4 linked regions of the Drosophila melanogaster genome follow. The protein of the gene in region 1 binds, or shares a complex with, the protein of each later gene. Each region holds a gene or a part of one and is shown on either strand. Other genes may lie near its edges.

What was found.
Region 2: eIF3b (region 1) and eIF3c share a complex: the UniProt entries of both Drosophila melanogaster proteins name them as parts of the eukaryotic translation initiation factor 3 (eIF-3) complex.
Region 3: eIF3b (region 1) and eIF3f1 share a complex: the UniProt entries of both Drosophila melanogaster proteins name them as parts of the eukaryotic translation initiation factor 3 (eIF-3) complex.
Region 4: eIF3b (region 1) and eIF3g1 share a complex: the UniProt entries of both Drosophila melanogaster proteins name them as parts of the eukaryotic translation initiation factor 3 (eIF-3) complex.

What each region holds. Positions count from the first base shown.
Region 1 is NT_033778.4:17,534,191-17,539,934, forward strand, and holds eIF3b (eukaryotic translation initiation factor 3 subunit b), read left to right. Parts: upstream 1-2,022; 5' UTR 2,023-2,139; intron 2,140-2,142; exon of another isoform or gene 2,143-2,264; 5' UTR 2,265-2,274; coding exon 2,275-2,389; intron 2,390-2,505; coding exon 2,506-2,821; intron 2,822-2,879; coding exon 2,880-4,432; intron 4,433-4,503; coding exon 4,504-4,592; 3' UTR 4,593-4,873; downstream 4,874-5,744. Other genes in the region: patronin, read right to left, coding at 636-665; Cc2d2a (Coiled-coil and C2 domain containing 2A), read left to right, coding at 5,132-5,744. UniProt on the Drosophila melanogaster protein: RNA-binding component of the eukaryotic translation initiation factor 3 (eIF-3) complex, which is involved in protein synthesis of a specialized repertoire of mRNAs and, together with other initiation factors, stimulates binding of mRNA and methionyl-tRNAi to the 40S ribosome.
Region 2 is NT_033778.4:17,663,512-17,670,347, forward strand, and holds eIF3c (eukaryotic translation initiation factor 3 subunit c), read left to right. Parts: upstream 1-2,166; 5' UTR 2,167-2,305; intron 2,306-2,520; 5' UTR 2,521-2,555; coding exon 2,556-2,648; intron 2,649-2,710; coding exon 2,711-5,350; 3' UTR 5,351-5,474; exon of another isoform or gene 5,475-5,520; 3' UTR 5,521-5,764; downstream 5,765-6,836. Other genes in the region: CG30108 (uncharacterized protein), read left to right, coding at 5,975-6,121, 6,176-6,295; CG30109 (uncharacterized protein), read left to right, coding at 6,671-6,817. UniProt on the Drosophila melanogaster protein: Component of the eukaryotic translation initiation factor 3 (eIF-3) complex, which is involved in protein synthesis of a specialized repertoire of mRNAs and, together with other initiation factors, stimulates binding of mRNA and methionyl-tRNAi to the 40S ribosome.
Region 3 is NT_033777.3:4,711,806-4,716,217, reverse strand, and holds eIF3f1 (eukaryotic translation initiation factor 3 subunit f1), read left to right. Parts: upstream 1-2,035; 5' UTR 2,036-2,132; coding exon 2,133-2,975; 3' UTR 2,976-3,336; downstream 3,337-4,412. UniProt on the Drosophila melanogaster protein: Component of the eukaryotic translation initiation factor 3 (eIF-3) complex, which is involved in protein synthesis of a specialized repertoire of mRNAs and, together with other initiation factors, stimulates binding of mRNA and methionyl-tRNAi to the 40S ribosome.
Region 4 is NC_004354.4:2,608,221-2,612,479, forward strand, and holds eIF3g1 (eukaryotic translation initiation factor 3 subunit g1), read right to left. Parts: upstream 2,117-4,259; 5' UTR 2,026-2,116; intron 1,963-2,025; coding exon 1,153-1,962; 3' UTR 1,027-1,152; downstream 1-1,026. Other genes in the region: Smyd3 (SET and MYND domain containing, class 3), read right to left, coding at 1-192, 251-447. UniProt on the Drosophila melanogaster protein: RNA-binding component of the eukaryotic translation initiation factor 3 (eIF-3) complex, which is involved in protein synthesis of a specialized repertoire of mRNAs and, together with other initiation factors, stimulates binding of mRNA and methionyl-tRNAi to the 40S ribosome.

The sequences.
Region 1 (5,744 bases):
GGTTCGGTTCGCGTTATGGTTCCTAGCTGTTTGTTTTTGCTGGCCAAGAACGAGACTCCAGCGCGACTTTCTAGGGAGTTGTCTGGGGGAAAAGTCGGTGTACACGCAAGGCCCCAAACCGCCGAGCAGAGTGTTAGCGTTTCTCCCTTTGCGCCTGGCATTCGCATGCGTAAGCCGTTTTTTTTTTTTTTTATTATTTGTTTTTTCTTTTCATATTTAGCGATTAGGTCATGCAACAGCGGCCAGCTCAAAGCGAGAAAAACGATAACAAATGCCTAATCTTGCAGGGGTAAAGCGTATTTTCCGGCTTCGATTTTTCAGCTGCAGTTTTATGAATGGATGTTGGCTGCTGGCATTATATTCCGATCAGCACAAGCACACCCCACACAACTACCGGTTGTAGTTGTTTGCATTGGCCATCGAAACCAGTCGATTGGTAAGTAGGTGTCGGTCGCATACTAAGCGCTAAGTTGCCGAGCGGCATTACCTCAGCGCACCATTTTGGCCAAGAGAGTAGGTGTTTAGGCCCGCTTCGCCTCCGTTGGAATGTTAATGAGTGCTTTTTGTTTTTAGCTCAAATATGAGTTTATTTTATGTGTAACTTTGTACACGGGAAGCCCTCTTGCTGCGCTTACCTGTCGTATTTCCTGTGTTTCGACATCCATGCTGACGGATTTTCCTGCGACGGACTCCGGCTCTCCGACGCCCGCCACTTCACTTTCCGCACTTTTTGCACTTTTCGCACTCTATGTTTGACCACAACACACCGCTTTTCCTTTTTCACTTGTCTCTTTTCTGCGTGCGAGCGAGTGCGTGTGTGTGTGAGTGTGGCTTGGAGTTTTCCTCAGCTTAGGTGATTTTCACTTGGAGCCTAAACACAAGAAAATACAAAAACACGATTGGCACTTTGTCAAACCACTTGGAAATCGAGAAAAATAACTAATTGCGCACACGCATTGTCAGCGAATTTTTTTCGGCGGGCGGGGCAGGGAAAAAGCTTAAAAGGCAGGCGGGCAGCCGAAAGAAAATGTGAATCATTCACGGAGCGCGACGGTGGGTGGTGGGCGGGGGCGGGGCTGCAGTGCGACAATAACAGAGAACACTTTACAGTTGCCTGTTCGCTTTTCTCGAGATGCTGCTGCATCAGCTGTTGCGATTTGCTCGTCTGGACAAGCCATTTACGCACTTTTCAACCCATCGCAGTGTTCAACCGCCCGTCCATGGTATAATTAATGTTTTCCCAATCCGTTTTAAGCCAGCAAGTTTCCAATTTTCTTTGGGGAACCGCCGACTTAAGTAAATGAAAACATTTTCCTTCGCCTCGCACTGTTGTTGTCCGCCGCCCGCTGTTTGCCTCTCTGTCGCTCCCGCTGCACTGGCAGTGCTGGTGTGCGACACTGCTAGTGTGGTACTGCTCGCACCCACAGCGAACGAGTGGTGACCGAAAAAGCTGTGTATGTGCGCGCGGGTGTGTGTGCGAGAGTGAGTGTGGGGCCTACGCACATTTGGGATGTTTTTCGCACTGATTTGCTGCACCGACGACTTTCGCATGCATTTCACACGGTTCGCGCTCGTCCCCGCTGCATTTTTCAACAGCTTTAATACTACAAATTGGGCTTAAATTGAGAAAATCACGGACACCGATCTGCTCTAAAATCTTACAAATTTTCATGTGAGAGATGGAACCCCAGCCGATGATTACTCGATGCAATCGGTTTTGGCTTATCGGCAACAAATCGATTGATGCCTAATTCTAAAAAATCGGTTGAACATGCTTCAAAACTTCCATCGCTAGAGTTGCAAGCGGAAAAAATGTATGTATTATTAAAGAACGATTAAACTAGTTGTTATAGGTTATACTTTGCTTAATACATATTGACTAATATTAAATAATTGTATGTACATGAAATACAAAATGATAATATTTAGCCGTTTTAACACATTATCACCAGATAAGCACCTAAGATTCTGTTGTTAAGGATCCATAAGAGAAGGATCCAGATATTATTGTCATTGCTGTCAAGCAAACATATGCAGTATAAATACAAATAAATCTAAGAAACAGTAAATTAAAATATATGCATGTACATATGTATTTATAAATATTAATAAAAGTTACCCCGCCGCGTTATCAACGCAGTGAGTAGTTGGCAACACTAACCATTCACACAAAACAGTGTTTCGCCTTGACTGGCAAATGCGGCATCTCGCTCTTCCTTTTTCACTTTGTGCTTGTGTGTTTAATGACGGAAAATTGCAAATAGATCGCTGAATATGGCCAAGAAGAAAAGCGAGGAGCACTCCGGTACGGATGCGAACGACAGTGATTACCAGGAGGAGCCGAACTTTGACGATCCGCCCGGGTTCGTGGACAACATTAGTGATGAAGGTGAAAATCACCGACTGCCAGCGCATCACACGCGGCGATCTAACCTCAATCCGTGTGCGGTGTGCGAAAGTTTGCATTTGCATATCTAATTAAATATATTCGTGATGCACTTTCAGATCTGCTGGGCGACATGTTGGCCCAGCGCCCCTCGGAGGCCGATGGCGTCGAGAGTGTGGTGGTAGTGGACAATATCCCAAAGGTGGAGCCGGTGCGCCTGGAGAAGCTGAAGTTGGTCATCAACAAGCTGTTTTCGAACTACGGAGAAATCGTCAATGTGGTCTATCCCGTCGACGAGGAGGGCAAGACCAAGGGCTACGCCTTCATGGAGTACAAGCAGGCCAGACAGGCGGAGGAAGCCGTCAAGAAGCTCAACAATCATCGCCTAGACAAAAACCACACCTTTGCCGTCAATCTCTTCACCGATTTCCAAAAGTAAGTTCTCCTTGCATCCGCATCAAGCAATGAGATTAATAAAATTTAATCTTGGCAGGTACGAAAACATCCCCGAGAAGTGGGAGCCGCCAACCGTGCAGACCTTCAAAGTGCAGAGCGATCTATACAACTTCATCAATGACCCGGACACTTATGACCAGTACTGCGTGGCAGCGGAGACCGCTCCCAACTGCGTGCAGGTTGGTTTCTGGCAAAACGTATTGCCCGAACCCTTTGAGCTGGAGACTCGCGAACGCTTCACCGACACCTTCGTCAAGTGGTCGCCCCTGGGTACTTATGTAGTCACCTTCCACAAACCCGGTGTGGCCATCTGGGGTGGCAGTAGCTTCCAGAAGATTCAGAAGTTTCCCCATCCTGGTACCCAATTCGTTGAGTTTTCGCCCTGCGAGAATTACCTAGTGACTTACGGACCGACACCCACGGGCCAAAAGATCATCATCTGGGACATTCGCACTGGAGCCGAGAAACGTTCGTTTGTTGCCGATGGCATGTCGGTTCTTTCTATGTTCCGCTGGTCGCACGACGACAAGTTTGTGGCCCGCATGGGCGAGAATTCGATCCACATCTACGAGACACCCTCTTTCTATCTTCTGGACCTGAAGTCCATTAAGATTCCCGGCATTCGTGGCTTCTCTTGGTCCCCCACAGACAACGTGATTGCCTACTGGGTGGAGGAGCAGAACCAAATACCCGCCCGCGTTACCCTGATGGAGATCCCCAAGAAGCGTGAGATCCGTAACAAGAACCTTTTCCATGTGGCCGATTGCAAGTTACATTGGCAAAAGTCCGGCGACTATCTGTGCGTTAAGGTAGATCGTTACTCAAAGTTGAAGAAGGATAAGAAGGACCTGGACGTCAAGTTTCTGGGCATGTTCTACAACTTTGAGATCTTCCACATGCGCGAGAAGGAGATTCCCGTCGACTCTGTGGAGATTCGTGAGCTTATTTTGGCCTTTGCCTGGGAGCCCGTCGGCAACAAGTTCTCCATCATTCACGGCGAGACCAACTCGTCGAATGTGAGCTTCTACGAGGTGAACAAGGGCGTTAAGCCCAGCTTGGTGAAGCGTCTAGAAAAGAAGTCATGCACACATCTGTTCTGGTCGCCACGCGGTCAGTTTATCGTAATGGCCAACCTCACCATGGGTACCTTCGAGTTTGTGGACTCCACCAACGATTACATCATCACGGCATCGCCCGATCATTTCCGCGCTTCCGAGGTCGAGTGGGATCCCACTGGACGCTACGTTGTGACTGGTGTCTCGTCATGGAAGGTGAAAGAGGATACCGGCTTCAACATGTACACGTTCCAGGGCCGCATCATCAAGCGTACCATTCTTAAGAACTTTGTGCAGTTCTTGTGGCGCCCGCGTCCTCCCACCCTGCTTAGCGAGGAGAAGCAGAAGGAGATCAAGAAGAACTTGAAGAAGTACTACGCTGCCTTCGAACAAAAGGATCGCCTGCGCCTTACCCGTGCCTCCAAGGAGCTGCTCGAGAAGCGCTCGCAGCTGCGCGAGACCTTTATGGAGTACCGCAACAAGCGTATTGCCGAGTGGGCGGAGCAGAAGAGTCGTCGCATCATGCTGCGAGGGCGTAAGTATTCTCAAGAAACAAATTGTTTAAAATTTGCCGATTTCTATATGTATATTATCCTTACGCAACAGATGTGGACACAGACAACCTGGAAACTGACGAAGTGGATGAAGAAATTGTTGAATTTTTAGTCAAGGAAGAAGTCACTCTGCTGGAGTAGACGACCCCCTCAACGCCACTCCAACGCTGTCGTCCCCTGCCTACTTCGAAGCGATCCTGTCGCCTCACATTTCGTGTCCGGGACGCGTCTACGCCCTGGTTGATGCCAGGGCCCTAATCCATTATCCAATACAGTAGCACGCGTCTGCTTGCAAACAACTCTAAGCGGAACCTTTGCCTATACATACAACATACGAACATACGAATTATAAGCCCAAAAGTAAACTTCAACTCAATCAGCAATTGCGAACATAACATCTAATTAAATGACCTTTCTTGCGCACACCCCTCCTCCTTCCAGTATGCCTAATAGTAGATTTGCCATGTATTTGTATGTAAACAGCAAAAAGAAAACGAAAACAAAATACGTTTGGGGTATGTTTTTTTGATGTTTCATTCAAGGCGATAGACGATAGATAGCTGGTGGTGAGCAGGTGTGTAACAGTGGTCAAGTCAGTTGCCCATGGCAACCAGTTGAAAGGTCAAAGCAGGCGGAATATTGTTTGCCTGGCATTTTCCGTTTGTAATAACCTATGTAACATGGAAGCCGCTCTATCCAGGAAGACTGCAAAGAAGAAACGCAAGACCCATACCACCAGAGGGTATCGGAAAAGGGAGCAGGAGGTGCAAAAGTTGATAAGGGCAACGGAAGGCAGAATCTCTGGTCCAGAACACGACATGGAGGCACTTAGCCTGCAGTTCTTTCATGGATTTGAGGGTGAGATGCAGCAGGAGAACGATTTCGCTGTTGAAGATTGCCAGGAGAGTGACGAAGATTCGGGTGGGGAACTGGCTGAGGAACCAACGGATTCGCCCTCCCAGACATTTATACATATCGATCTGCACGATCCTCCTCTGGCCTGGGGTCAGCTATTCAAGCAGCGCCACTACTATGATGAGAGCTTACTTTACCGACCGAGTAATACCCTGCACTTTCAGTTGCATTTGAGCGATTTGAGTGAGTTGAAGGACTCCCAGATCCGTATGCTGAACCGCTACCAGGAGCAGTCCAAAAGCAAGTCCGGAAAATTGGGCTCTGATCTGATTGGTCAGCTAAGTGGACAGAAGCCTGCGAGTTTCTTGATGGGGAAACATCTATATCGCAGTGTGTGCCATAGGAGATTTCAGAGCGTGTTCTTCCCTCCCATGCCTC
Region 2 (6,836 bases), 130 kb from region 1:
TAATGGCACCTTAAAGCCACGTTAACGTATCCAGCTGCCAAAAGCAAATAAATGGCTACCACAAGCGATGCACTTTGGGATTTCGCCTGCATTTTTATTTCCCACCCAGTCATTTTTGTGCATTCTCAAGTGCTCCTGTCCATGGCTTTAGCTTGTTTTGGGGTTTTTTCCCTGGTTTTTCATTAGCTTGGGAGTTTCCGTCTTGTGGAAACTCAGTGTGCAGCATGAAAAGGGTGTTGTCCAAATCCCCGAATAAAACATGAGCTCAAGATTCTGATTACGACTGTAACCTTTATGTCTGCTCCTCCTAAATTGAAATGAAAAACACGCAGAATTTATAGTGCATGGAAAGAAACTATTCAATTTATTCGCAAAAGAGTTTTGTAGTAAGCGGACATTAATTTTACAATATGCTCCATTATATTAAAATATCCATAGGAATTAAAATATTTTCAAATTGAGAGAAGGCAAATTATTAAAAATATAATATTATCGAATAAGAAATACTTTATTTCAGGAAAATATTTATCTAAATATAAAGCCATTTTTTCTGTGTAATGGATGATGACGAATTGAATGAAAAAGAAGTGCATCGGTTTTATCAATAAAAACTAAATTAAAATGGAGGCAGGAACGTGGGAGTAGTTATTAGGAATTATTCATTGAAATTGCGTAACTCAACATTTGTATTCAATCAACAGGAAATCTATGCTCGAGCAAGGGCAGAAATCGCATTTAAATGGAAATTTCTATAGTCTGTTTCGAGCATCGGTTTTGAAAATATCCAACCCATATATAGGATTTATGGGGCCGCACAAGCCGTAACAATCCAACGGAAAACGGAAGCAAAATAAACAGCACAAAAGCGTAACGGAAACAGAAACAGAACCCCAGGAAAAAGGGGCCCGTTTTTGCCGATTTGGATGTATGTAAATGCATATAAGCTTTTGCACCCACACACAATTTACGATTGCAGCTGCAGTTTCGGAGGAGTCAAGGAGCAGAAACCCGTACTATTTCACGGACCCTTTACGGATTCAAATGTCGATAGGCGGACAGGGAATTTATGGAGCTCTCATCAATTTCTCCGGATAATAAAGCCGCCATATGCACTCTCGAATGTCAGCTGTCGAAAAGCCAGGAAAAGGGCGATTACGCGAGATTAACCGATCAATTTTTAATTTGCCATTTCCGAGACCGCAGATACACACATCTCCATCAATCTGCAGTTATTATTTATTATGCTTACATTTGCGTTAAAGTGTTTTCCGTGTTACTCGTGTTTTCAAGCGATTCCGGGCGTCGCATCTCATTTAGGATGCCACTTAAACAGGATGTGGATGGGCAGAGCACATGCCACGCACACACCGCACACTTGGGCCAAATTTTGTTTACACCGCCAAGACACAACACAACACACAAGAATTCAAATGAATGAATTTATTGAATTCTTTTTAGCGGGCCGCAAAAGCACTTGAGACTCTATCGCCGGATATTGGCATCAACGCTGCCAAATCGCCGAGTACATCCGAAAAATTGAGTTTTTGAACTTGAACTGTCCGTCGGCGCGGAGGAGAGAACGCATGCGACTTGTTGGCGCGCGCGAAAACGTTTGGCTTGGTTTTGCTTTGGCCTTTCCTTGGCTGCCTGGCTGCATGTTGGCCGGACCAATTGATCCGGAGATTGGTTGGGGCGCCAGAATGGGAACCCCACTCTGTTTGGCTAAGAAATGCCGGCACTTTTGCACGCAAGCGCAGCAACATGTTGCTGGCAACTTCAAATGTTGCAGGTCACCAATGCAACATCTATGTAAGCATTGATCACTGATTATCTTTTTAACATTATTTTGAATAGTTACTTAAATGGCCACTATTTCATTTTGATGATATATTTGCTATGTAATTTAATGGATTTATTTTAAATGTACCGCCCAACCGGTTACTTGATATCGATATATCTCGAGAAGTGCCGGCATTTCGTTATCGATGAGTACGCGCTCGCATTCAGTCAAAACAGTGACTCCCTTAGAGATGGGATAGATTTCGGTAACTGTTGGTCCGCCACATAAAAAAACAAATGTTCTGTTACATTTAAAAAAATGTTTAAAACGCTCTCCTTACGAATATTAGTAGAGAGTAATCATTTCTCAACATGACAGTTATTATTAATACATAAATCAAACGCCCCGCCCCGTGACTTTGAGCAATATATATCGCCAACGAAAACACATGCAACCATCGCCCATCTCTAGTCTCTCTTTTTGATGTCTTGTGCATTCGACATCGTTTAGTTTTGCTGTAAAATAGTAAGTTTATTGTGAAATATCAAACGCCAGGTGGTAGTAAACACTTAAAAAGCAAGGCAGTGAACCGATTTCTGCCAGGGCTTCGAATGAAACAACCAAATGTCATGCGGAAATATTTGGCATACGTTTTTGCAAAACGCCATGTTGGCCGCTCAAACATAACCTCAACAAAGCAAAATCTTATGTGGCCCGAAACTAATAAATTGTGATTCCAGGCGCAGACAAACGGCCGCGTAGAAAGTCAACAAAGATGTCGCGTTTCTTTGCCAACGGGTCCGAATCGGAGTCCGAGTCCAGCGAGGAGGAGATCCAAGCGACCAACTTCAACAAAGCCAGCGCCTTCGTAAGTGCCGCCCAGATGTGAAACTCATCCATTACTAATCTATTCCTTTCCGTGGAAAACAGCAATTCAGCGACGATGAGGAGGAGGTCAAGCGCGTGGTCCGCTCCACGAAGGAGAAGCGTTACGAGAACCTCACCAGCATCATCAAAACCATTCGCAACCACAAGAAAATCAAGGATATTCCCAATACCCTGAGCAGCTTCGAGGATCTGACGCGCGCCTACCAGAAGGCACTGCCGGTCATCTCAAAGGAGGAGAACGGCATTACGCCGCGATTTTACATTCGCTGCCTGGCCGAGCTGGAGGACTTCATCAACGAGGTGTGGGAGGATCGCGAGGGCAGGAAAAACCTTTCCAAGAACAACTCCAAGTCGCTGGGCACTTTGCGCCAGAAGGTACGCAAGTACATCAAGGACTTCGAGGACGATCTGTCGCGTTTCCGTGAAGCACCCGACCAGGAGAGCGAGGCCGAGGACGAGGTGGTTGCCCTGGAGAGCGACGGCGGCGATGCTGGTGATGACAGCGACGCCGGAGTGAAGCCTACAGAAGCGGTTCCGAAAGCTGTGAAGTCCGCGCCGGCAAAGGCTGCGCCCGCCGATGATGACGATTCCGATGACTCCATTGATTGGGACTCGGACTCTGAATCGGAGACCGAGTCCTCTGACGATGAGAACCAGTATCAGAACATGCGCGAGCGATTCTTGAAGCGTACTACCGAAAAGGAGGAAAAGGATGATGACAAGAGGAAGGACAAGCGTAAGGAGCAGAAGACCAAGATCCGCAAGCGCGCCGAGGACGATGAAGATGGCGAGTGGGAGACTGTGGTCAAGGGTCATGTAGTAGAGAAGCCCAAGATGTTCGAAAAGGACGCAGAGATCGATGTTCCCCTAGTGCTGGCCAAGCTGTTGGAAATTATGTCGGCTCGCGGCAAGAAGCGCACCGATCGCCGTCTGCAGATCGATCTGCTTTTCGAGTTGAGGGACATCTCTGATCAGCACAACCTGGGAACCGCCGTCTCCGTGAAGATTCATTTTAACATCATCTCGGCTATCTACGATTACAACCAGAAGATTTCCGAGCCCATGAAGCTAGAACACTGGGCCCTGCTTCTGGAGGTAATGCAGAGCATGATGAAGCTCCTGCTGGCCAACGCCGACATTATTATGAGCGAGAGCGTGGCCGAGGAGCATGAGGAGTACGCTACGTCACCGTTTTATGTGAGGGGATGCCCACTGGCTGCCGTGGAGCGCCTGGATGACGAATTTGTTAAGCTGCTGAAGGAATGCGATCCACACTCCAACGACTACGTGTCCCGGCTGAAGGACGAGGTGAACGTGGTTAAGACTATTGAACTGGTGCTGCAGTATTTCGAGCGCTCTGGCACCAACAACGAGCGCTGTCGCATCTACCTGCGCAAGATCGAACATCTCTACTATAAGTTCGATCCGGAGGTGCTGAAGAAGAAGCGCGGTGAGCTGCCAGCCACTACCTCCACCTCCGTAGACGTGATGGATAAGCTGTGCAAATTCATCTACGCTAAGGACGATACGGATCGTATCCGTACGAGGGCCATCCTGGCGCACATCTACCATCATGCTATGCACGACAACTGGTTCCAGGCCCGTGATTTGGTGCTGATGTCTCATCTGCAGGACAACATTGATGCCGCCGATCCCGCCACCCGCATCCTGTACAACCGTATGATGGCCAATCTGGGTCTGTGTGCCTTCCGCCAGGGCAACGTCAAGGATGCGCATCACTGTCTAGTGGACTTGATGGTCACCGGCAAGCCCAAGGAGCTGCTCGCTCAAGGACTGCTGCCTCAGCGCCAGCACGAGCGATCTGCCGAGCAGGAGAAAATCGAGAAGCAACGCCAGATGCCATTCCATATGCACATCAACCTTGAGTTGCTTGAATGTGTCTACCTGGTGTCCGCTATGCTGCTCGAAATTCCTTACATTGCCGCCCATGAATTCGACGCCCGCCGCCGCATGATCAGTAAGACCTTCTACCAGCAGTTGCGTTCCTCGGAGCGTCAATCACTGGTGGGTCCACCAGAGTCGATGCGTGAGCATGTCGTGGCTGCTGCCAAGGCTATGCGTTGCGGCAACTGGCAGGCGTGTGCCAACTTCATTGTCAACAAGAAGATGAACACGAAAGTGTGGGACCTCTTCTACGAGTCTGATCGCGTGCGCGAGATGCTGACCAAGTTCATTAAGGAAGAATCGCTGCGCACCTACCTGTTCACCTACTCGAACGTCTACACCTCGATCAGCATTCCTTCGCTGGCGCAGATGTACGAGCTGCCCGTGCCGAAAGTGCACTCCATCATCAGTAAGATGATCATCAACGAGGAGCTCATGGCCAGCCTGGACGATCCATCCGAAACCGTGGGTATGCATCGTTCGGAGCCATCGCGTCTTCAGGCCCTGGCCATGCAATTCGTGGACAAGGTCACAAATCTGGTGGACGTCAACGAAAAGGTGTTCGACATGAAGCAGGGCAACTTCTTCCAGCGCGGCAACATGGGCAATCGCGGTGACCGTGGCTACAACCGCAACCAGAACAACCAGGGCGGCAATTGGCTCGGCCAGCGGCGGGATCGCAACAACCGGAACCGTAACCAGCGCGGGCACCACAAGAACAACCAAGATAGGCAGCAGCAGCAACAGCAACAAGTCCAAACGATCGACGAGGAGTAGACGTTGCTGCAACCTCAGCCCATCCTCTCTAGCGAGCGTTAGCTTAAACATCAGCAAAACTTAAACAGATCAAATTTGTAGCACTTCGACTATTAAAATGGAATGGCCATGGACAACACGTTGGGTCACATGCTTTCAGGCCTCCGATTCGGTTTCAGGCTGGGTCGGAGGTCTGTTTTTATCATGTCCATTGCATATTGTTGTAGCCAAGTCACACGAACATTTGTTTCAGCGCTCATTACGTTAAATGATAATACTAATAACTACATTTTGTATGAACCCAAAACCGAAAAAGAAACCTTAAAAACAAGAGACACAAAATCAGTGACTTTTTTTTGCAAATTTTTACCAACAACTAATATTAAATTTATATGTACTAACAAGAGTATTATTTTAGTCGGCTTAACACTTTGGCTTTTGAAAATTTAAGAAAACTAAGAATAACATTTGAATTTCGATGACAAGCTTCGTTTTCTGCAAAACTTCGGATATCGATATGCTCTTTTTTTCTCACATCTCTGAAACCTTTTCTTCAGTAGTACCGTTCGACGTACCTTTGTCACATTTTTTCGGAACTCTATAATAGGCATTATAAATTAAAACCAAAATATACCTAGTAAACAAATGAGCAGCGTTGGCGAGGATTGCAACGAGCTGAAGCAGCAGTACGATGCCTGTTTCAACAGCTGGTTTTCTGAACGCTTCCTAAAAGGTCAAATGGATGACTCAGCGTGTGCTCCGATTTTCCGGGTTTATCAGGAATGCGTCAAGGTGAGCTAATCGGCTCCCTAACCACGTATGGTTTGACCAACCTGTAATCCCCAGCGCGCTATTAAGGAGAAGAAGATCGATTTGCAAGAGATAGATCCGATCTTCGAAACCGGGCTTGAGGAGAATAATGCGAATAGATCTGATGCAAAACAGCAGCAGGCGGGCGAAAGCTGACCCCGTAAGCTGCTCCATATAGCCATCCTAATCCTCGCCAGCGTTAATTGGTGGCTGCACGCGCTACAAAATACTTGTAAAGAGAAACATTTCGTAGTACTTTGACTGTTAATAGTATCATCATGAAACATGGACAACTGATTTCGTTATAACCAGAGTGCCTTTATTAAAATAAATTAGATGTTCTTAAAGAATTGAAAATTCAAATTTCGATAGCACGTTCAGTTTCAACGAAACGTACATCGATATGCTGTGTCCCACATCTCTGATAGCTTATCTGTAGTATGACCCTCACACAAACCATTCTCACATTTTTTTCGACTTATTATTCAATAGAGAAATTATAACTGAAACTCAAAGAGCTTCACTCCACAAATGAACAGCATTGGCGAGGATTGCAATGAGCTAAAGAAGCAGTACGACGCCTGCTTCAACAGCTGGTTCTCGGAAGGCTTCCTTAAGGGCCAGACGGATGACTCGGGCTGCGCGCCGATTTTCCGGGTCTATCAGGAGTGCGTCAAGGTAAGCCCAGGTTTCAAGT
Region 3 (4,412 bases), on another chromosome or scaffold:
AGTAAAAAGAATGGGGCCGTTGGGCCAAATATGTGCATTAAGCACCCGTGAATGGAACTCACAGTGAATGGGCAGTCGAAAAGAGTTATGTTTTTTAGCTCCCTTAGGGGCTTTACATATTACATATTAGAATTTTTAAAACTCTCCCAACCAGCCTTCGTTCAGTGAAGGGCAAGCGGGACCTTCCTCTTAAAATTGATACAGTTTGTCAAGAAACTGTTTACACACTGTGAAATAAGTTGAATTTTTGACTTTAAAGCTAAAAATTAAAGGTTTTTTGCTTAATTAAACGCATTTTTTTTATAAAATATAATTAAACAATATTTATTTTACTTATAAATCAAAAAACAAATTAAAAATATTAAATATACAAGAAAAAAAACAACAAATTCCAAGTTTAAACACTTTTGAGACTGTCAAGAAACTCTTTACACAAAACACTAAATCGATGTTTAATCCTAAATTTTTAAATTATTTTATTAAAATTTTAAAAGTTTTGGTATGTAGTATGTTCCCCATTGGCTTTAGCTACAAGTTGAAGCCCTTTTTTCATGGAATGGACAAGTTTTTGCAGGTCATATTCAAACGGGATCTTTTCACACTCTTCGACTATTACAGTCATAAGCTGTTGTCGTGTTTTAGGTCCCTTTTTGCCACCTTCTTCTTTAAGTAGGTCCACAAATTTTAAATGGGGTTCAGATCAGGACTCTGAGGGGGCGTATCGATCACTTTACCACAGTTATAAGGGCGCCAGGTGCGTACATTGCACTCTTTATGTTTCTGATCATGTCCTCTTAAAATATAAAATTTGGCTTGTTGTTGCTAACTAGACCAAATTTTTCTGCACCGGCCTTCAAATTTGTTTTTTAAGATTCCTAGATATTGCACGGCATTTATTGTGCTCTAAATTAAGGCTAGTTTTCCCACTCCATGGCTGGTGATACAGCCACAAACCATCAGTGACATTTTTCCAAATTTTATCGTTGGAATGATATTTTGTTTTTCTAGCGCACTCAGCGGTTTGCGCCATACTCTGCTTGGCCCGTCGTTATAAAAGAGCATAATTTTTGTTTCGTCACCAAATATGACGTCATCCCAGTACTCTTCTGGATGATCCACCTTGTTCACAGCGAATTAATGACGCTTTTCCATATTGGCATCTGATAGCAAAGGATTTTTCCTCGCAACTCTTGAAGAGTATCTATGGCGTAGGATGACTTGGCGCACAGTTTCGTGTGACACAGTTAGGTGACACTCTTGCCTGATATCCAGAGCAAGTGATCTGACCGGGGGTTCGCAATCTCTATTCGCATAATAAAGCGGTCTACACGCTTTTTAATTTTAATTTTCCGCCCACCACCACTCTTAGGTTCAAGCCTGTCCTCTTTTTCCGAGCCTTTTAAAAAATAGTAGACGGTCTTACGGGATACAGAAAACATTTATACTTATTCTGGAAAAGATTTTCCCAACTGGTGGTTATAGTTTATTAATTGGGTAACTTCAAAGTTTATCTCTTTCCAGGCATTTTATTAAATTTAATAATTCGCTTTAAGCACGTTTGATCAGCAAAATTTCACAAGCAAGATTGAGTAGTAGAATGTAACCGACATTTTGTTATTGATCCGTTATGTTAAGAATGAGCAGCGAGCAATGAAATTCACGGAAAGCGTTCCGTTATTGAGTGGGCATCATTTGTGTGGCTGTTGTTGTTGTTGTATAGTTTCTGGAAACGAAGTAAGGATGAAATAATTGAGTGAAGGTGAGGAATAGAAGAAAAGCATCGCGAAGGCGACGCTTGAGTAAATTAGTCTGCTTAGAACGACAGAAGAAACAACACGCAGGCGACTTGATGTGCTGGACAATATGGACGCTGAAGTAAATGAAAAGTCGCGCTTGGCATCTCCGACATATTCAAATTTGAATAGTATTTGATTAACTAACGCTAGCCACCGGTTTTACATCGATAAAACGATAGGCCACGCACGACCGCACCGATAGCTCCAAAAGCCATCAACCCCCACCCGCACTATCGATAGGCCCTTTTCTTGCATCCCTAAAACATACGCGCAGCGTGGCTGAATAGAAATTATTGCGGAAATTTTCCTTGCAAATCTTGGCCACCGAAAATTACCATGTCGGCTCTCAATCTGACCGTGCGCGTGCACCCGGTGGTGCTTTTCCAGGTGGTGGACGCCTTCGAGCGGCGGAACGCGGACTCGCACCGCGTCATCGGCACCCTGCTCGGCTCTGTGGACAAAGGTGTGGTGGAGGTTACCAACTGTTTCTGTGTGCCGCACAAGGAGCACGATGACCAGGTGGAGGCAGAGCTGAGCTACGCCCTGGACATGTACGACCTCAACCGCAAGGTGAACTCCAACGAGAGCGTGGTAGGCTGGTGGGCCACCGGCAACGACGTTACCAACCACAGCTCGGTGATCCACGAGTATTACGCCCGCGAATGCAACAACCCGGTTCACCTCACCGTGGACACTTCGCTGCAGGGCGGACGTATGGGTCTGCGTGCTTATGTCTGCATTCAACTAGGAGTTCCCGGCGGCAAGAGCGGCTGCATGTTCACGCCCATTCCTGTCGAGCTGACCAGCTACGAGCCGGAGACATTTGGGCTCAAGCTGCTTCAGAAGACCGTAGGCGTTTCGCCCGCTCACCGTCCCAAGACCGTTCCGCCAATGCTGGACCTGGCCCAAATCTCGGAGGCCTCCACGAAGCTGCAGTCCCTGCTGGATCTTATTCTCAAGTACGTTGACGACGTGATCGCTCACAAGGTAACCCCCGACAACGCCGTCGGACGCCAGCTGCTAGACCTTATCCACTCCGTGCCGCACATGACCCACGAGCAGTTCACTCAGATGTTCAACGCCAACGTACGCAACCTTCTGCTGGTCATCACGCTCTCCCAGCTCATCAAAACCCAGCTGCAGCTTAACGAAAAGCTCACCTTCCTGCCCACCGCCTAGAACGACGGCGTTTGTTGAAGTGGTAATATCTACTAAGGGTGGCATTGTAAACTGATTGTGTTTTTTATCAATGGGGGTCTACGTAATAAAGTGCTCTGATCGCCAAAAAAAAAAACCAAAACTTGTATCGATTACTCTGGTCAGAATGACATTCCATACTAAAGAAAATATATATGGGATTATCTTTTTTATAACTCAATTGAAGAATCAGCATGAATCCTGTGACACCTACACTAAACGACCATGTGGCGTTTGTAGGAGCATTCGAATCTACTGAAGACTCTTAAACACAACAGTATTCATCACCAGGAACAAAATAAATGCATGTGCAACTGAAAATTTAGCACCCAACTGCTAAAACAAAATGTTGTGTTTCAGTCTTTGGTGAGCTTCACTATTCTATAGGGTTTCAGGGAGTCGCATCGGTGCTGGGTTTATTGTAAGAATAGTAATATTTATATTCTTTAATATCAAACTTTGATGATCGTACCTTCGGCACACAAAAGTTATAATATCAAATTTTGTGACGAAATATGACAACACATTCTATTAAAAACTAGTTTCTTACATTTTATAACCAGCACCTCGTTGCATCATATGCGTTACTTAACTTTCAATTGTTTGGTAGCACCAGGATAAACTTGAGCTACGCCTACACTTTTCTGTGCAATCTGCATCCTTAATCTTCTAGCATTTATAGTTCATGAGATCTTGACGTTCATGCGGACAAACATGGCCAGATCGACTGCGCTGATTCTTGATCCTGGTGAAGAATAAAAGGTACTCTAAAGAGCATAAAAAAACACACTTTTCATATGAAAGAAGGACACAAAGGGGCTCCAAGATTTCCCCGTATGCCTTAATATATAAATTAATTAAAAAAAAAACTTTTCATATGAAAGTTTGTGTGGCCAATTTAAATATATTCGTAATGCATACTTTTGGGCGAAATTTAAATCTCAGAATGCGGAAGTTTTTTTTTTAAATCAATAACATTAGTTACAGTGTTACATTAGCAGATACTGGTTCCTCCCAAAAATTTATGAACTCAGTTGTAAGTTTTTATTAAGCATGTCGAATTGACATCCACTTTGTTAGCATATTTGTCGGAAATGCGACAGGACAGGTAAGTTATACATTTTAGAACAATTTAATTAACAATGATAAGTTCAGAAACGTAAAATGATTGTTTCATCATTGAAGGACTGTATCTCCTAGTCATTGAAGTATTACCACCAACATACCATACACCTTTTAACTTTAAGCGTTCTGCAGATCAAAATATGAAATAGTTCTTCATTGAAATAGTTTATTAAAAAACTAAACTATATCTTCTTTGATGTATTTATACAGAAAAATTATTCATATACCGATCATGTTTAAAAATTAATCATACAATCCAAGATGTGTATATAATATACAAATTTTCAACTTTAT
Region 4 (4,259 bases), on another chromosome or scaffold:
CGGATCAGGTCTCCGCCGTGCTCCAGGCGCAGGATCAGTCGGCAGAGCATTCGGGCAGCATCGGGCACAACTCGAGGATGCACCTTCTTGAGGAAAGGACACTCGTGCTTGTGCTGGCCCCAAGCTTGCATCTGGCATGAGCGGTGGCAGTAGGACACATACCTGCAGTTGGAGCACTTCAGCACCTTGGTCCTGCAACGACGAACCCAAATTAGATAGCTCACAAAGGCAGCCACATGGCGAAACTTACGCCTCCAGGCAGTTATCGCACCGCTCCAGGCGGTACTGTGATTTCAAGACGAAGGCGAATGGTTTCTCCGTGAGGATCCGCTGTCCCCTTTTTATTTGCGGCGCCGGATTCTTTAGGTTCTTGGATTTGGATGAGCATGCGGATGCGGTTGCGGATGTGGTTGCGGATCTGGATGAACCAACGGTGGCGGTGGCCATTTCGCTCGAACGGAGCAACAACAAAGACTTTCGCCTGGGGGCCCGTCTCACTGACGACTGAAAATGAGCGCACACCTGAAGATCAAAAATATTGTTTCGAATGCTTTTTGAATATTTTGCGGCATCTGATTTCTATTTTTGGCCACAAAAACAAACACAATTTACGCAAATCGCTGGCAAACACAAAAACAACAACACCATGGTGTTTATTCGCATGCAAACGATGGCGTTGCCAGATCGGCTGGAATCATGCTTTCTACAGTGGGCACCGCGTAAGGTTAACTTGTTAACCATATGTGGGTAGCTGCATGTCGTTAAAAAATACACTTAACAAATCATATTCAAGTTTTTTAAGTAACAAATAAAAAATATTTCTTTTATATGTTGTTCCCAGTGTCTACGATTTGGTGGCCTTGCGTCCTTTAAAACGAGGGAGAAAGCTATATTAGAGCAAAAGTCGAAAGCATTTGTGTTGGTTGGTCCGCAAAACTAAAGAAGAGCGATTAAGTTATATCAAATATGAAAAATATACGATTCTAGATGCCATTGTATCCTTGCAGAGCATAGTCATCTGGTTTTCGGTGCCCATGGGGGCTGTTTTAAGATTTATTTGTAGCAAACTTAGCATAGCATAGGGACAAATTGTGTGATCGACTCGAACGGACTCCTATGAGCAGTAAACGCGGGTAGTGGGAACGGGACTAACTAATTGTTCTGGGGTTTCGACCATTCGACGCTGAGGATCAAGTGGTCGTAGCCGTGTCCATTGAGGATCTCGATGGCGGCGGCCGCATCCTTGCGCTGCTTGAAGTGCACGTAGGCGAATCCCTTGCAGAGTCCGGTGTTCTTGTCGCGGGCGAGATACATCTTGCTCTGCGGTCCAATCTTCTTCACCAGCTCCTCGAGATCCGCCTCGGTCATCGACTCCGACAGATTCGATATCCTAATGGCGGCCGTGTCGTCGCGTCCGCGCATTCCCAGCGCGCCCTTTTGGCTGTCCTTGAGGAACGGCGGCACATACTTGCCGGACTTGGGCGCATCGACGGCGGCCGCGGCGGCTGCCGAAGCCTTCTTCTCCATCATATTCGTGTCCATCGCCGTGCCCTTGTACGGGCAGTTGACCGACCAATGCTCACCGTTGCAGATACGGCACTTGGCAATATTCTTGGTGGGATCTAGCAGCGGATCGTTGGCCTTCTCGTCCTCCTTGGAGTTGAGGAACTGCATGATGATCTCCTCGGACACCATGGTCGTCTGCGAGTTGGGGCCGGGCTTGTCGTTCTTCGAGTCGCCGAACTTCGTCCAGGTGCGTCGCTTGGCCACCGTCTTGGGCACCACCTGCTTGGATATCTTGTACGTGCGCACCACCTTCGTCTTCTTGTCGTCCTTGTTGTACTTGTACTCCGTCACGTACTTCTGTCCGTTCTCCACCGTCTCCGTCGTCGGAGGTAGTCCACCATAGTCGAGCTCCACCTCGTCCGCCCAGGAGGATTTGATCGTTTCAACGCCCGGCATCTGAAAGGAATTGAGGGCGCAGTGAGTGGGGCTACACTGGGCGCTTGCTTGGGGTGCACTCACTCTGATTTTCAACGCGATTTGTATGCGAAATCGTAAATGCAAATTTCGCCACGAGTTAAGCGGATTTTTAATCAGCAACAAAAGAGTGTTACCCTGCCGCGGTCACAAAAATATGCCGTGTGTGTCCAAAAAATATACCGCTAATACCACTTTGCACTTTTTGGAATATACCATTTGAAATTTCGTTACATATAAGTTAATAAGTTATCGATTTGATTTTGAAGATCGCAAGCGACCGTTTATTGCAATTTATCATTTGAAACTAAATCTAGCGTACAAAATGTTTCCCTAAGTCCCTAGCAATCAAGTGAAGTCGTCGGCAGCGGCGCAGCAGGCGTCGGCCGCGGCGCAGCGCAGAAGTGTCGATGTCGCGCTTAACCGTTCGTTGGCGTTGATGGCAGCGGAGACTATGTGGAACCACAAGATGTTAGAGAATCAATTGCAGGGCAATAACTCCTCCCCTCTTAATTGACGCTTGTCCTCGAGCGGTCATCATAAGGATGGGATGTTTTTGAGTCGCATCGTTGGTGGGGTGATTCGTGGTAGTTTGGGCACAGCATTAATGGTTTGAATGCCAGGTGTTTATTGTTGCGTGCGTTCGAGGTTTGTGCAACTCGGATGTGTTCTGCATTGACAACTTGATTGCTTCTATTAAAATTCTGGTTTTTACTAAATTACTAATGAATTTATATCTACATATTTTTAGACCATTGGAACCTTTGCAGAAGGCATTGATTCCGTACATTTCGTCTTTAATTGGTAAATTTTATTATTATTCAAATTAAATTATTATTTATTTATTATTATTAGTTTCCTTTACTGATCATGTTTTAAAATATAAGAAATAAGGAATTAACTGATTCAATATGGAGATTTCAATGGCATTCAAATTGTAGTTCCGTTGTGTAAAGCGAGAACGTGTGAAAGTTTTAACATTTATTTGACCGTCAAGGCAGAAATCGGTATATTGTTTTCAAGTAGGCTACTGGTCTCATTCAATTTAAACTCGCTCCGCAGAAACGCATTCACAACGCAATCTCTTCTTTCACGAGCCCAATCTAATTCTGCAAACCTATGGCCAACTCGTCTGTCAAAGTCGAATCGTTTCAAATTTAATTCTCGTGGTTACGTTAATCAGTATGTTTAATGTTTCTATGTTCTACTTGTCTATCGATGTGGCCACAGTAATTATTCTGAAGCAATCATGATCTTATGTTACTTTTATGTACTAATTTCCCTGATTCTGTTAATATTGTGGTACTTCGGTCTTCCTTAACTAGTTCCTTCCTAAATCTACTTGATAACTTAGAACCTAATCTTGTATTAACCCTAACGAAAATTTCTTGCCCTTTGATATAGGTTTTTATGGGCTTTCTTGTCCGGTTGTGGTATTCTATGTCGGTTTCCTGTTTTTGCCTAAGTCGGTCTATATTGTCCAGTCTAGCTTGTTCATATTTTTCTGGAGCTACGGTAGCTATCCTGCCGAAGAACACCTCTAGAGGTCGTTTTTTTGTGACAGAATGGACAGTGTAGTTATATTCATAGATGGCCCTATCGAGAAGTTCCTCGAAGCCCCTATGTGTTCCATCTCCTTTCAAACATCTCATTATTTCAGAGAGTGTGGAGTGAAATCTTTCTATCTGTCCATTTACTGTACTCTTATACGGAGGTGCTTTGTAGAGCTCAATACCCAGCTGGTCTGTCAACATGAATTTGATAGAGGCTGAGTTGAGGGACTTTTCATTGTCCATTACTATTAATTTAGGCACTCCATAATAAAACACGATATCTCTTAGGGCTTTCCTAATGTCTTCTACAGCTTTGGATTTGATAACTCTTCCCATGGCCAGTTTGGAAAATTTATCAATCGCCGTGAGCACCAGATGTCGTTCTGTCGAGTAGATGTCAATATGAATAATTTGTCCGGGGTATTCTGGCAAGGGAGTTTGTCTTATTTCTGGATGCGTGGGATGTCTGTCATATTTAGCAGTCTTACACACCAAACACTGATTCACGATAGCCGAAACTTTTTTCCTCATTTTAGGAAAGTATACTCTTTCGGACAACTGAGCTTTATTTTCCACAGCATTTCTGTGTGCTCTGTTATGTGTCCTAAGTATTTCTTCCTCTTGTTCGGCTTCGTTAACAAGGTCTTTGACTTTGCTTTGGCAGAATCTAATCTTGAAACCCTGAAAATGGATGGGGTAGAGAATTTGAATTTTCCCCATTACATC